Schizosaccharomyces pombe: one gene and its partner. The protein of the gene in region 2 interacts with the protein of the main gene of each other region in a biochemical or structural test. Each region holds a gene or a part of one and is shown on either strand. Other genes may lie near its edges.

Region 1 (9,083 bases), on a different chromosome or scaffold from region 2:
TATTTGCGAATTACCTGGCTACACTAATATTAGAGCTAAAATCAAAGTCGGACCATACCGAATTCTGCGAGTAATGGCAGAAGAATACAATAATGTAGCAAAAGTATAGCAAAATCGTCGTTTATTTAACGGAAAAAGGAAATATGCCTAGCCAGAAAACACAGATATGTAAAGCCCAAGAAGTGTGTGATTGACAGAATGAATGAAGAAGCACAAAAGCTAGGATGAAAACAACAAATAGCAAATATCTTTGCAAATATGAGGGATCGTTAAAGAAAGCTAAGACATTGTTTACTGTTGTAAACTAGCTGTATTAAGGAAATTTCGGAAAAGGAAAGAAAACCAGGGGTTAAATTACAGTACCAAACACTTTGACTTTTTCTTGTGAGGAACAGGAGGATCAAGAGCGGCTACAATAGCTTCATCAAAAACATTCTTTAACCCTTTTTGGGTCAAAGCGGAACACTCAACATACTTGACAGCACCCAACTCACGAGCTAATCGTTCACCTTGCTCATGTGTAAGGGGATGCTGATGCTGGCGAGCTAGTTTCTGTTGCACAGAAGGGTCATCACGTAAATCAATTTGGGTACCAACAATTAAGCACGGGACGCCCGGACAATGATGATGAACTTCGGGAAACCACTTTTCTTTCACATTTTCAAAACTGGCAGGAGAAGTTACACTAAAACAAACCAAAAAGACGTCTGTTTGAGGATAGGATAAAGGACGCAAGCGATCATAATCCTCCTGACCAGCGGTATCGAATAAACCAAGAGTGTATGGTTCATCACCGATCATGACAGTGACAGCATACTATTTTAGTCAGTAAATCTTTACTATAAAATGAAAATCAGCTATATCAATTAAAAACGGGAGTAAAAGCAACAAGAAAGTTAGAATAGTCCCCAATATAGCAAATAGCAGAAATAATAACGACCAAATCTTCCTGGGAAAGAAAGTGGTCGCCTCATCTTATTCCTTACGAGATAAGGCTTCCTACGGTCTTTAGATCTAGTGTGGAAAAAAAAAAGCATCGGATAAAAAAAAATTATTAAACTTTCAATAGTTTCTGAGATAAAATCGATAAATACATTGAGTCATTGTTTAATCCTTCAGCCTTTTTTTGACAAAAAGCCTTATATCAAAATTTTCCGTGACCGAACATTTGAATAGTAAAAAATTTCTAATATGGGGACAAAACTTCACCAAGTACTTCATTCCATAAACAACTAATTATACTTACATTATCGAATACAGTTGGCACATAGTCACTAGGAAACTTGTTTGTAGTATAGGAAATAAGCAGACAGGTCTACATTCAAACGGTCAGTATGTGTAAAACTCAAAAGAACAATTTTTGGAAAGAAAGAAATAAAGGGGAATGTATAGACAAAAGAAACTTCATTTTAGATGATAGCAATTCTTGTATTTTTTTATGCATTGCTTAACTTCACCTTCCGTAAACATCAACTCACCTTTCCTACAGCACCGTCTCCTACTACGACACACTTAATGGTGGGCATACTATTTCACAAAAAATAATTAATCGTAAAGCTTTGCTTCACTTTATTGAATTCCTAGAAAGTTCAAACCCCTAAGTATCAAACACCGGTGTTGGTTGTAGGTAAATATATTGTGCGGTCACCGTAATTAGTTCGCCCAGCCATGCTTTATTAAGATATACTACAGCGGCTAATCCAATCTCACTATTAGATTTTACGAATTGTAAAGCGTAAAAAAACTCAAAAATGCAACTTTTATTATTATATTACTAGGAATGAAAAAAATTAATAGATGCAGAAGTTATGGAGGCATGTATGTGATGGAGTCATCTTTCAAAAGTTTAGGCAATTAGCAAGCATAGATTGTTTAACAAAAAAGATAGCAATTTATCTAATTAACATTGAAAATTCATTGGTAATATTGGGTAAGTGTTCTAGTATCGGTATTTCGCATCCAAATAAGCCTTTTTTATAAATCCTCTATTTCATCAAAATCTTCTTCGCTAATTTCCTCCTCTTCTTCGCTTATCTCCTCACTTGAAGACGGTGCTTCCGAATAATTTATACGAATCCCTTGAAATCTTGAGCTACTTCGTTCTGGCACGTTCCTAATATTAGGATTCTGCTCATTTAGCTTTCTCCTTTTTTCGTTTTTCCTTCTTCTAGACGATTTTTTATCGCTCTTTGAGCTATGAGTCTTCTTTTGCTTCAAATTTGCGTGCTTATTGGTAGTCTGTTTCGCAAAAGATGAGACTGGTGTCCTTATAGCATGTTCAATCTGACTTTCCATTTTAGGCGTTATGAAGATTTTATTGAAAATTCTCTTTTTCTCATCTATAGAGGGAATTGGTCTTAAAATTTCGTAAGGTAATTTAATTTGCTTTGGATACGTAGTCAAACTCCATCCAAAGTTCTGGGATTTCACCTGCAATATTTTCTGAGCCATGTCGCTTAGCACATAAATGTAATTGTTTCCATCTTCAATAACATCATAGCTTTGTTTTATGCGTTGCATTAGATGAAAAACGATTGGGACGTTCTCACTATTAACAACAGTGTCAACGTAAAAGCGAATGTATGCAATAAAATCAAGCGAGTTCTCTGATTCTATCGAAGATATGTCTGGATGGTGAGAGAGAAGATGGATAAGATATGTTGCTACATATTCCATGGTAAAATCATGGGTTTTCTGGAAAAAAGCAACCTGAGAACGTATCCATATAGACGCTTTAGTCTTGATCTCCTCTTCCGGATCAACAGCAGTCAGGAACAATAAAGGATAATAACTAATTGGCAACTTTTTAAGTTGCAGCTGCTTCTGAAGCTTCGTCAAAAATAAATTTCTCACGTCAAAATTTTCATCTTGGCATAATAAGGAGATTTGAACGTAAGAACTAAAATCTATATGTTCCGCATAAAAAGGAATGGAACATAACTTTAAAAAATATTTGCTAGCAGTGAGACGTAAATAAGCACGAGAAATTTTGGGAGTATTCTTGAACGGACTTAATTCACCGTCAGCCATTAACAATACTTTCAATAGCTTAATGATAGGAGCTCCAATATTTAACGCTTCGGTTCCTCCTGCCGCCGCCCTCAGTCGATTAACCAAAACCCTAATTGCTAAAACTTTGCACATGGTAAGATTATCTAATTTTTCGTAAGTACACCATTCCTCATCATTATGCGTATCATCATATTTTTCAGGAAAGCGCTGTATAACTTTTTTTACTAAAAATTCTGTAACTTGGTCAGCAACCTTCTCTACCTCTTCTAAAGTGTATAGAAATAGTTGTCCTAAAGTCATAAGCCGTACAGGAAGTCCTCCATTATACTCCAAATTTTCCACGATATTCGTTATCATATCGAGTTTGAATTCTTTCGTCTCCGTTATAGCGATAATCGTCGCTGCCTGTTTGGCTTGTTCCTGTGTTCCATGTAGACACAACTTTCGTAGTATTTCAGCAGTTGTTGTTTGTATAGAAAAATTTTTTTTTCTTTTGGAGAATTGGGAAAGAGCTTTAATTACTTTAGGATCCGATTCAATGCCCGAAGAAACTATAATATTTTCAACTTCTATAACAACCTCTCCATATATGTTGGGATGAATTAGCGGTAAATGCTGTAAAAGAGCCTCCGACGGCTTAAGGAAATTGTGGTATTTTACAGGTTCATTTAATAATTGAATTATTTCATGCACGTTGCTTTTATTAAAAGCAAACAGAGCTGAACGGTAAACGAATATTCTAAAACATTCAAGACTTGCGGTACTCAACGTTTCAGAAACCCTTTTAAATAAATATTTTATGCTTTTTAAAACAACTTGATATTCACTTTTAATGGAAAACGTTTGTAAAAGCATTTTGTAGCTTTGACGATCATTAAGTTCCGCAAATTTTCTGAAAGTGGCTTCTGTTAATGTAGGATTAGAACTTTTTGATGATATGATATCAATCACCTTCTTAAGCTTGTTGGTAATTGACTCTTCATCATTATCCATAACACCTCCATTGTAATTTTTGCAGCACTCAATGTAGTAATTTAAGAGTTCCGAATACTTAACTTGTCTTTGTAAAAGTAGAATAAAAACTCGCATCGCTTTTTCACTAAAATACTTTATTGAAAGGAAAAGCCTGTTTAACCTTGTTTGCGTATCAGAACTAAGGTATTGTAGGACCAGTTCAGCCATACAAATTTCAACAGCCGCATTAGTTGTTTCATCATTAACATAAAATACTTCCAAAAGAGATGAAGGGATCCAGCTGAACATCTGTATTGAGTATTCCACACCATCTATAAGGTCTTGATATGCTCTATTATAAATTTGACTTAGTGTCCGAATTGCTTGTAAACGAACATTGAGTTTACGATCACGTAAACGGTCACCCATGAGTTTCAAAGCCTGTACTGAAAATTGCATTTTAAAGGTTTCGAAAGTCAACTGTTCGATCGTTTTAAGAGTAGCAACCCGCACCTTTTCATCCGTGTCGGCCAACTTTGATTGAAGCATTTGAACTACGTTTTCAATTATCTCAGAAGTAGCCAATGAATTCTGAAGAGCGTTGGAAGCAACTTCAATGCATTTGATACGACATGCAACTGATTTATCATTGAGCCGACCACAAAATGCACTCCATACCCTAGGATAATCGGACCATATGGCGTTGTCTTGGAGCATCAAACCAACAGTTTCTATCGCCACAAGTCGCACACTAGTTTGTTCAGCTTGCAATTCATTTTCGAATTGTGGAATAATGTTCAATAACGTGGTTGGTGCATATTTCCATAATTGTAAAACTAAATTGTGCGAGAATATAAATTCTGGAGTAGTCATGGAGTCAGAAAGCGAATCTCTTGAATCGAATATAATATCTGAGAAATACTGGCAAACATATCTTTGTAGTCGATCTGCTGAGTCATGAAAAATATTTCTCGCTAGTTGAAAAGCTGGACCGTGATTAGTAGAATCGGAAGAGCCAATTGTTTGCCTTACGCCCTTTCCTGATATTAGTTGAGCAAATAGTATGTTCAAGGCAGCAGCAGGAATGGTGTTAATCTCATTGATCAACTGGTTAATAATATCAAGCATGTAAAACTCGACATTCTTGGTAGTACCCTTTCTCGCTAAATCAAAGAAGAGACGAAAGATATTTACTAAGAATTCTTCAGCATTCGGGAGATCAACTATTAGAACTGCAGATTTAACGTTCGACAAACTCTCTAATATCTCGTAAATTTGTGGATAATAAGTAGATTCTTGATTCATAAGACCACTAAGAATTTTGAGAATTACTTGGAAAATATCTTCCAATTGTGATAAAGTGAAGGGCGCATCGGGGGCACATAAACGAAGCAATTCAACAATACAACAAAGTGTATAAGAGCGTATCCCTTTATCTTTGTGATGGAGCAAATTGTTATTTACTAATGATCGTGCTACTGGCAATACTGAGTCACGGTCGATAGTATCTTGGGATAGGCTAGTAAGCTCTCCTAGTAAATCACGTAGTCGTTTTAAAATCTCGGAAGTCGTTAACGGATTGTCATGTGTTGGGACAATGTTTCTTTGAAACTGTAACTTTATCATCGCAAAAGTTGGCTTTTGCACGCTTTTGTACTATTCACCTTGGGTATTTAACAAATAAATGACAAATGCAGTAAACTTTCAATGCTCTATATCCATAAGAGCCATAGGCTGATTTTATTAATTAGTACTTCGCAATATTGAAGCTTGAAAGATGCGATTTCAAAATGTGGTGCTCAACTCTTTATTACGTTCGTGTTAGACTCGCAATGTACTTGCTTAAAGAAGAGACGCGTAAAAGAACGCGTTCCATTTATTGTAATTAAAATATTACACTATTTACTAATAAGTATAACTCAAGGGTAATGATAAAATATTATTAACGAGTGAATTAGATATAAGGACATATGAGTGAAAGAAATTTAATAGTTTAAAAGTAGTTTAAAGAACGAAAGGTGCTTGTACCAAAAAATTAAAAATTAAAATAAAAAGTTAGAATAAAGATGAAAAGCGGAAACTGTAAAGTACAAGGCAAGTAATATACACGCTGATAAACGATAAAAATCAGCTAAAGCGTCTTTTTTTAGGAAACCCATTGTTCAACATTGTCAAACAATCAATTCAAGCTTTAATAATTGATAACCATATAAACCGCTTTTCTTAAGAAAAAGTCGAAGAGCCATCTTTTTAAAAAACTAATATAGGAAACAGGCAGTTTGATAATTATCATGCATTGTTGAGATATACAATATCGTAACGCAAACATTAAAAAACGGTAGCGTGTCTCATGTGCTGCTTCTTCTGCCCATACGCGTTTTCTTCTTTGAAACAACCTCCAAAAGTTAAAGGCGAAACTGCTTGAAGAATTAAAAATGAGTTTTCCGTATTGAAGGAGCTGGATACAGCCTTCTGTTTGGATTTCAATTTATTAAACAAGAATGGTATACGTGAACCCCAAAAAGATTTATCCGTCTTTCCTGCTAATAAAGCTCTTAAAGAATCTGAAGCACAATTTAATACACGTTTAGGAGCAACCATAAGGTTAATCTTGCTTTCTACTGGTGACAATGGGGCTTTCTGAGAAGTGGGCCTCTCAAACATGCTAAATGCACGCTTGTGTTGTTTCTTAGTTGGCTTATTTTTCATAGGAGATTCACGTGTTTCAACTTTGGCATGCTTAACCTTATGCTTGGGACGGCGCAGTAAAGAAACCAAGCGGTTTTTAGCATTATCGATTGGATGAAGAGTAGTAGAAGCATAGATACCATCTGCAATTGGTACAACCGGCCTCGTTGAGTGTTTAAGATTGATGCTGCCATGTAATGCCGGTTTTTCTCGATTTAATGAAGTTTTTGTGATCTGAGGAGTCAATTCAATGGAAGAAGAGTAAGTGCTGATTGACGAAACTGAAGAAACACTAGCTAAAGATTTTTGAGAAAGCAAACGGATGGGAGACGGACGCAGTGAGGTCGCTTCATCATCGTTATACGTTTCAAATAGAGACACATGAGACCGGAGATATGCGTGATTCATAATTGCTGACATTCGGACACGTTTTGCTGGATCAGGAACTAAAATTTTTTTAAGAATGTCGCGAGCTTTGCTTTTAAAGAACTCCGGAAATATTAAAGGAGTACTGCAAATATACCGATAGAGTCGAGGGACATTTTCTCCATTTGGATTGTGTGGATCATCGTCAAATGGTAGATACCCAGCCAACATTGCATATAAAATGACACCGCAACTCCAAATATCTGCTTGTGTGCCAGCATACATTCCAGACTTGCAATTCACTAATTCAGGGGCCGCATAACAAGGCGATCCACATGATGTACTAAATAAATCTGGCTTTTCCGTGGGCAATGAGTGTTCACTGAGAGTATTAAAGTGCCCAAAAGTAGTCGCAAAGCCGAAATCCGCAATTACGATATTTCGATTAGTATCTAGCAATATATTCTCCAACTTCAGATCTCTATGTACCACTCCTCGAGAATGTAAATAGGCAACACCACTTATTAATTGTGCGAACAGTCGGCAAGCAACCGAATCTTCAAGTCTTCGGCGCGCCAGTATATAATCAAAAAGTTCACCACCATTAACATAGTCTAGTACTATACCAAAATGATGTTTAGTTTTTACAAAATCCAAATATTTTACAATATGGGGGTGATTATTACCCAAACCTTTTAAAATGGCCACCTCTCGCATCAATCGGCTTGTTTGACAGTTTTGCTTCGTAGACAAAACTATTTTAATTACAACTTGCGGTGTTGAGCGGTGAATAGTAGAATTGGCTTTTGGTAAAGGCCAGCCAAGTTTAACCTTTCCAAACTCGCCGGTACCGATTGTCCTTCCCAATATATAAGAGCCAAACGTATAGTTTTTTGTGCTTTTTCTCAAAGTACGGGTCAACCGTTCAGAAGTGTCGTTCTGGTTTTCCGACAGAAAAAAGTGCGTATTACTTGCGGAAGTAAGGTTAGCATAAGGGAGGCTTTCTTTTTTCTGCCATACATATTGCAATTTTGATTTGTTTTCCGGAACTAAATGCTTTTGCTTTTTTAGAGCTTTAGCAGAGGGAATGCGTTCGTTGCAATTTTTGACAGAAGAGGATTGAGCCGAATAAGTAGTCCGTGAAACAGACAATTCGGGCAGCTGGATACTTTTGGGTTCTTGGTATAATTCACCAACAGTAAGAGAATTTCCAGGGAGCTTCGTAGACTGTAAAGGTTTTTCATCTTCAGTCAAAGTATTTGGTTTACTTGGTTTACTTACAGGAGCATTCTCGGTTTCGGACTGTACATGAGAAGAGAGTTTATCTGAACCTGTCATCGAAACATGACCTTGGTTTTTAGACTGCATAAGATGGATCGACAATAATGACTTATTCGACAATTGCAAAGGATGCGATCCATTCATCTTCTCGGTAGAAGAGGTAAGTTCAGACGATGTCTGCATATAATTATTGGAAGAGGAGCTTGCTATGCCAAAGGATTGATGCAAGCTTGTATTGGGGGTAACTTTTGAAGAATTTGAACTGATTTCCACAAATCCTTGTTGGGAAATTTTGTTAACATCGGTAAAACTTTTGGTGTCCAAATTTTTGTTTGAGAGTTTAGACGTTTGCGGAGGGAGTAATAACACTTCACGAGTTTCCAAATCTTCTTTTGATGGAATCTTTTTCGGAAACTCAAAGTTTTCAAAATTCGTTTGCGGCGATGACTGCACAACCAAGTTGTCCGACTGTAGGAAATTGAGATTGACCGGAACTCTCTCTATTGCCGATGTTTTTTTTGCCTGACTAGGTAGCCTCCTTGTGGGGTAAGCAGAATGAGAAACCTTGTTAGAAAAGGATGCCGTAAAAGGGGCCATTGGAGTAGTGTATGATGATGCATTATTAAAAGGCTGAAGTTGAGAGGGCATAGAATGCAGACGATGATTCGAGGAGAAACTGAGTAAAGCTAGAAGAGAGTCATCTCGAATGCTTGGGGTGTAAGGACCACCACGGGATCGATTAGAGGAGGAGGAAGGAATGGCTTGATAAGAAGTGTTAAAAG
Region 2 (7,645 bases):
ATTGCAGAGTACGAGTAGGTCCTGGATTTCAGTACCAATTTTTCTCACATACTTCTTCTAAGGTTTCCAAATAATGGGTAGAGACATTTTAATTGGATTTGTTGGCAAGCCCTCCAGTGGTAAATCTACGATGCTGAATGCGTTGACAGATGCCACTGCTAAAACTGGTAATTTCCCTTTTACCACTATTGAGCCAAACCGGGCTATTGGCTATGCTCAAATAGAATGCGCGTGCTCAAGATTTGGACTACAGGACAAATGTAAACCAATTTATGGTGGTTGCAAAAATGGTGTACGTTCAATTCCTATTCAGCTGCTTGATGTAGCTGGTCTTATTCCAGGTGCGCATGCTGGAAAGGGGCTTGGCAATAAATTTTTAGACGATTTACGGCATGCCGATGCTTTGGTCCATGTGGTAGATGTCTCAGGTACTACTGATGCGGAAGGAAAAGTGTGTCGTGGATATGATCCTTCTGTAGATATCGCTTGGTTGTATAAGGAAATAACTGCATGGATCGGAAACAATCTGAGAGAGAAATGGCCTAATATAGTTCGTAGGCATATTGCTACGAAAGCCAATCCTGTCAATACACTACAATCCCAGTTTTCTGGATATGGAAGTACCCCTGCTGTTACAGCTAAAGTCTTAGATTCGCTACATTTAGATACACCTTTGGAGAAATGGGATGATGATACAATTGAAAAAGTGGTTAACAGATTCGTTGATATCAAGTTTCCTACCGTTATTGCTCTTAACAAAATTGATCATCCTGATGCGGATGCAAATATATCTAAAATAGCTAGAAAAGAAGATCCAAATCGACTCGTACTGGCTTCAGCCATATCCGAAGTTTTTCTTCGAAGATTGGCAAAACAGGGGTTTGTTAAGTACGAGGAGGGCTCTGAATTTGTTGATACGCTAGACGATTTTCCTGACTCTGGCTTGAAACCTTTGAGCGAAAATCTTAAAACCCGTATCGCAGACCTCCAAGACATGGTATTATTTCGACACGGTTCAACTGGAGTTTGTAATGTTTTAGCAAAGGCAATGGAACTTTTAAATTTGATTCCAGTTTTTCCCGTTAAAAACGTTCACAATTTTGCAAACTCTCCTAATGAAGGTGTTTTCAGAGATTGCATCTTAGTGAAGCAAGGAACGACTGCTGGACAGGTATCTCAAATGGTATTGGGTGGAGAAGCAATGTCTATTGTGGGTGTAAATGGAAACGTCGGCGAATCTGATGTTATTGTCCCAGGTAAAACGGATATCCTTCACTTTCGATTGCGGAAAGCTGAAGCTTAAGTGATTCATGAAGAAAAGTGGTAAAAGGTCGATTTTGGGAAATATTCAAAATAGTTTTGTATAGATGTTAATAAACAATACTATGTCTAAAAATTAATTTGGTTAGTTTAAAACTTCCGAAGAGCTAACTCAACAAATTACGTCTACAATGTCTGGCTGTACTTTCTCCACTATGTATTACATTGACTAAATTTTAAAACCATAGTTTAGGTACTTGTATATTTGAAATAAAGAGTCGAAATCTTGTAAACCCATGTGTAAAAAAACACGTTTGTGTGCAAAGTATCACCTCATGTAATGTAAGCCCATATCTTGCATTAGCAAAGATAAAATCGTTAATTCAGTTAAAATAAATTAATCCATAATATGATAAATTCAAGCAGAAGCTTAGGCGATAACACAACCCTTTCCATCACCAGGAGGGGAAGGATTTGCTTGTTTTTCAATTTCGCTGATAATTAGCTCGAATGCTCGAGCAACATTTTCGTTATGGCGAGCTGAAGCTTCTGTCCATGCACATTTCCATTCATTGGCCAATGCTTTTCCCTCTTCAGCGGTAACAGCACGCTGCATATGCAAGTCGCTCTTATTGCCAACAACCACAATGGGGACCCACTCAGTACCCTTAATAGCAAGTAGGTTAGTAAAAAATTTAAAAATTCTAATAATTTGACATACAGTGTGATTCAATATCTTGTCACGAACTATTTTAACCATCTCAAAAGAAGATTTGCTAGTAATGCTGTAAACGAGTACATAGCCATGGATTCCAATGGAATGCTTAGAATTTAAGATACTGTATTCATCTTGACCAGCCGTATCGATAATTTCAGTAGCAAATTCTTGACCCTTATACTTGATGTTCTTGCTGAATGTATTTTCAATAGTTGGATAATACGATTCAACGAAATGGTTTTCAACATATTGCACCGTTAAACTATTTAAAAAAAATGGTTAGTAAACCTATTTGCGCATAAACTTCAATCAAACGCTTACCTGGACTTTCCAACAGAACGACTGCCAAGAACAGCAATTCTACGAGATTTAATAGGAGCCATTGTTTAAATTAGAAAATTTCAAGATTATAATATTTAAAAAGGCAAATTATTAACTATAGAGTGATCGTAAAAAAAAGTGAGTGAAAGCAACGATGTTGTGGATGTCACGTTCCCAGCGCGCCGCAAAGGTCATTTTACCAAGTCACTGCGCAAGTAGTCTTGCAACGATTTATGTAGTTCATCAATTATAGAAACAATGGCTAGTCCATTAGAACCCATCATCATTAATTCCTCTTTCAATTTCAAATGAAAATTTTTAAATTTATGTAGAGATTCGTAAAACTGAGATATCAAAGGCTTGAGTTGGGCAAACGCTTTGGGATCATTTAAAAAGCAATGGCTTAAAATCATTACGACATATCCACTAATTTCTACGATACTTTCCTACATTTGTTAGAAATGTCTTACAACAGAAGTAGTACAACTTACGTTCTTTTGATAAAACGAAATGAGGACATCGAGTGCTGAAGCTCCGAAAGAAACTAAATAGAATTAGTAAAAATATTAATAAAAGGAACTTACCTTCAACATGAGTGATAGTTTGAATAAACTCATGAGATTCCTCAACTAGCCCTAGTAAAAGACCAAGGATTAAGATAATTAGTTCTCGTGTAGTTTCATCATCGGACGAAAAATTAGAAAACTTTTGTAAAATTTTATAAGCAAACAATGGGACTTCTGATTTAGAAACCGCTAACGCATGATCACTGTTAGAATTAACTGTTTGAATCAAAGTACGCAACAATTTTTCACTGCATGCATGGACAACTGTATCGTCAATTTTTGGTGAATTTGTTTCATTGTGTTCATCAATTAAAATTTGTAACTTTGAGGATAAGATCTGTGAAACCTTCTGAATCTTTTCTGATCCCTGGAAATCCGTAAATTTTTCTAAAGAACTACAAAGTGCATGAAGTAAGAAGTTATTGCTTCCATCGTTTTCCTTCAAGATGGGGTAGGATTTTTCTATTAAAAGATTGATTAATTCGGTAAACAACTCGCTTTCCGCAAAAACTCCCGAGGACGTCTTCATAAGAGCGATAGCTGCAAGACTGATAGAATCAGAAGAAGCAAGAGACTCATTGCTAAAACTAAAAGTAAGCTCTGCCTTTATAACGAATTCTTGAACGGCTCCCTTTACACTTTTTGGTAAGCTTTTTGCCAAAATTGAAACCGGTACCTGCGGTTCTAAAGTAATAGCCGTTTGCAAAAGAAGTTTAACATTGTTTGAGTAAGCATCAAGCAAGGAACTCATGCAATCCATTTCATTAGCCATAGTTGCAAATATATAAATCTGCAAAAAAGTGTGTAAAGTATCTTTAGGATCAATTTCTTCAAATATTCGCAAGAAGACATCCCGTATCGACTTTAAGCATAAACGAAATGAATTGTCAAACATTTTTTCAGCGATTCCTATTAAACTCAAATAGCGAGAAGCAGAAGAGTTACCTGAGAAAGTCACTCCGTCCACTAAGTATTCAATTTCATCAACGATCCTTTGCTGCTCTCCAGCAAAGCGAAGTTCATGTATACTTTTCATTTGAATTTCATCATCTTCTGATACGTCTTCCTCTATCAAAAAAGCACGTTCTGTACCAATAGTATGGTTGGTTGAATCCAATTCTCGACCAGAGGATACTTCACGGGGTACAATTGGCTGAGTATCTAATCCTTCCTCCATCAAATACGATCTTTGTTCCCGATAGGTAGTGGAAGAATGGTTTGCGGAAGCATCAATACTACTACAGCTCGCGGACCTTTCCAGTCCTGTCTTATGAGAACCGTACTTTGAATTCTGAAGTCCATTTCTTAAAATTTGTTTTACCGGTGAAGACGGTAAACTCAAATCAGGATTACTAACGACCCTTTGCTTTTTATGCAGTCGTTTAGACACGGTCTGTCCTGGCGAGCGCTTTTGCTTGTTTAACTCTGAAACTGTCACGTCTAAAAAGTTCCAAACTTCCGATTCCGAAGAAATTCTCTTCAAACCATTATCTTTTTCCTTACATTTTCCTCTTTTCATTTCAAGGTTTCTTCAATCCGCCTGGCTTGACATCGATTCTTTACAAAAATGGAGGAACACGGTCGTACCAACTCACAATGTAGCTTGTCGAGTGAGTGAAAACCTTCGAAAATAGAGCTTAATAACTTCTTGAGCAAAGAAAAAAGAAAATAGGGTCCTTGATGAGAAATTCGTTTTTTATACTCAGTAATTTTAGAATCGTTTTTCTATTTGTACTTGGTTGATTTCAATCGGTCCTTATAGATATTTGAGTCACATTGTTACTCTACCCAGTATAAATAGAAAAGACTTAGTCGATAGAAATCATACAGGGCATCTTTTTATTCATTTATTATAGCAACTTATCCACTGATAGTAAAAAAGTTAACTAAAAGTTTTGAATTCGTACAACTTATGGAAGACCATAAGTGGACGAGTGGCTATTTGACACAAGTTTGTTTTCAGAGAGCCTGAACTTGGTGCAACACCTTTATTATACAGAAATCATTGTGACATGTAACATATTATTGAAAATTTCGACAACGAACAACTCAATAATATCTCGCAGAGCAAAGGAGTTATTCAAAATTTATATAACGATGCATCCTGTAATAATTTTAAACTCGTATAAGAGATTCTATAAAAACTTCGGAAAATGAAAAGCTGTAGTTAAAAAATTGTTTTGTGAATTTTGTACAAGTGTTGGAACTTATTTATTCAATATAATCTACTGAATCATATAGGCTAAGTAAGACATAAACTGATTAGTCGGACAAATGTGAACTAGTTAGCAAGCGCGACACGATAGCTACGCGACGCGTCAACAAACGCGACACGCTCAAATTTAATATAACCCTCGATATAAATGAAATGTCGCGCCCTATATAGTCACGACAACAATATCCTTATTTTTGGATTTTGTGTTCAAATCATGAGCGCTGGATCGCAAACAAAATTGAACTTCTCTGTCCGTAAAACTCGATCCTCATCAAAAAGGTCGAATGCGGCCATTATTGAGCCACCCAAAAATCCTGAGGATTCTCAAATAATACCAGCTGTTAAAAGGCTGAAAGAGAACTTGGACACTGAGTCTTTAGAACAAAATGAGGTTTTACCCCCAGTTAAAAATGAATCAGTTCTTTTCTTAGAAAAGGTCTTTAATGCAGTCGACATATGTGTAAAATTTCACCTCTCCATCAATACCAAACCAACCTTTGTGCTGTTAGAAAATAAAGTCTCTGGTCTCACCAAAATCTCCTTAAAAATAACTCATCTCGCTCAGATTTTAACCGTATGGCCAGAGTCATTTGCTATTACCCCATGTTTTACTATTCATCAAGGAAAGCGTGTTGCAACATATGAACTGTCATACCCTCGCAATGCGAATCTTCCTGAAGCCTTCTCCCGCTCCATTGAATTTAAACGGAGACTAGAAAAATGGTTGTTAGAGCATTGTTCTGAAACTGAGATTCCTGCTCAACAGTTACAAGCTTTACCCAGTCTATCCAAGAATACTGTTAATGAAAGTTCACTAGTTCGAAAGCTCAATTTGGAGAAATCAACAAGTCGCGAGTTACGTATTCCCACACAAACTCTAGAACCAAAATTCACTACTAACACGGCAAAATATGCTAATGAGTTAGTCTCGTGTAGCATGCTTGACAGTTCGTCCACTTTGTCAAAGTCAGTGAATTCAAAAATCAATTTGAAATCCCATCAAAGTTCTTCATCTGTTCAAAATTCATCGCGTAAGCTAACATCATCTCAGTTAACTTTGAGACAATCTTCTCTGTTCGATCGCGTGCGTAAAAAGCAAAAAGCAATGGAAGCAAAAAAAGCTGAAGAATTTAAAAACAACCTAGTTGTTCATACTCTAGCAAAAGAAAAGGTCTCATTTGTCCGCATTATTGATCTCATTTTTGTTCAGCTTTCCACTTGGCCAACTAAACGATCTTTTTCTATGTCTGAAATTGTGACAAGCATGCAAATGTCGATATCATCAAGCTTATCACCTGACCAGTGTGCCAAAGCAATTGAGTTGCTTTCAAAAGCTTTGCCTGCTTGGTGCACTATCAATCTTCTTGGTAATATTCAAGTAGTCACATTCAGCAGGATTGTTAATGGGAAACCATACTTGCGATCCCAATTAATTGAAGAATTGCAAACAAAGGCTAGCATCACTATTCTTTCAAATTCTTAATTGTAGGCGATGTTTCGAATGACATGCCTAAGATCACCACTGCTGGCAGTGGTTTAACGTTTACTATCTTTTACGATCTATATAATTTCCATCACCAATATTATGATACTATGGAATCTTTCATTAATTTACTTTTGTTATTATGTTTTTGGTTGATTTACTCTTCTAGGTACATGAAATCCGGTTATCCTTTTTAACAAGCTACAAAATTACTTTTTTTTAATAAATAATTATTTCCTTTAAGACCACTTAACCTGCCATAAATCCCAAGTTTTTGTTTTTCTGCGAATACTTTAAATTAACACCCAAACATTGAATAAAATTTTTTGATATTTACCAATTCCAGCGGCAAAGGGTGGCAGTTATTGCTGTAATTAAAAATCTCAAATAAGGCGCCGTTTTTAATAAACAATCTGAGTGAATCATATCGATAATGTAAAGGTTGCTAGTTAGAACACACAAATTGAGGTATAACTCGCACATTAAGATATCATAATCATTGGTCAAGCAGACAACATCTGAAGCATACCAACCAACTCATTTGCCCTTTGAGTAACCGCTACTTCCTGCTCAACTTTTTCACGAAGCTTTGAAATTGCATTTTCCACCATTACGCTGCCCCCAAGAGCAGCTCCGTATATATCTAAAATGGTGCTAGTAACTATACATAAAGTTTCGGAGAAACGAGGGTCTCTTATATATTTTCTTAAGAAGTTTATCAAAGGAGTAAGAGATAAATCATCTCTGTTAGACAATGCAATCCGTAACCCTCCAACATGAAGAAGCTCAATAAGCATAGTTATGATAAGAACAGGTGATCCGTTCTCCAATACCATATCCAAAGCATCAGAGTAACAAAATGATTTTAAAGCTTTGTCGAAAGGACGAAGTCTTTTACGTCTAGCCTCTTCGACATAAAATTCATCGTTCTCGCCCTTATAGATTTGTTTCTTTTTACCTACTACACCAAAAGCACTTCCGACGCCCCCTAAGAAAGGAGTTTTTGAGCTCGTTTGCTTGGTTATACGTCGAGTCCGTTGCGATAATGTACCGTTCGACATACCCACAACTAAATTGCAGCT

What was found. Proteins that work in one complex are often made in the same cells at the same time.
Region 1: the proteins of wpl1 (region 2) and pds5 form a complex in vitro, tested with the Schizosaccharomyces pombe proteins (one study listed by BioGRID).

Annotation. Positions count from the first base shown.
Region 1 is NC_003424.3:1,908,551-1,917,633, reverse strand, and holds pds5 (mitotic and meiotic cohesin loader subunit Pds5), read right to left. Parts: upstream 5,787-9,083; 5' UTR 5,593-5,786; coding exon 1,975-5,592; 3' UTR 1,737-1,974; downstream 1-1,736. Other genes in the region: Rho family GTPase Cdc42, read right to left, coding at 355-816, 1,247-1,315, 1,479-1,526; serine/threonine protein kinase Ppk1, read right to left, coding at 6,295-9,083. UniProt on the Schizosaccharomyces pombe protein: Required for the establishment and maintenance of sister chromatid cohesion during S phase. Prevents their formation until eso1 is present. May also have a role during meiosis.
Region 2 is NC_003423.3:472,137-479,781, forward strand, and holds wpl1 (WAPL family protein), read right to left. Parts: upstream 4,593-7,645; 5' UTR 4,385-4,592; coding exon 2,884-4,384; intron 2,875-2,883; exon of another isoform or gene 2,844-2,874; coding exon 2,791-2,843; exon of another isoform or gene 2,746-2,790; coding exon 2,491-2,745; 3' UTR 2,438-2,490; downstream 1-2,437. Other genes in the region: SPOM_SPBC428.15 (Obg-like ATPase), read left to right, coding at 74-1,303; Rheb GTPase Rhb1, read right to left, coding at 1,691-1,927, 1,982-2,240, 2,300-2,361; DNA replication licensing factor Cdt1, read left to right, coding at 5,295-6,563; U3 snoRNP protein Utp15, read right to left, coding at 7,067-7,645. UniProt on the Schizosaccharomyces pombe protein: Regulator of sister chromatid cohesion in mitosis which negatively regulates cohesin association with chromatin.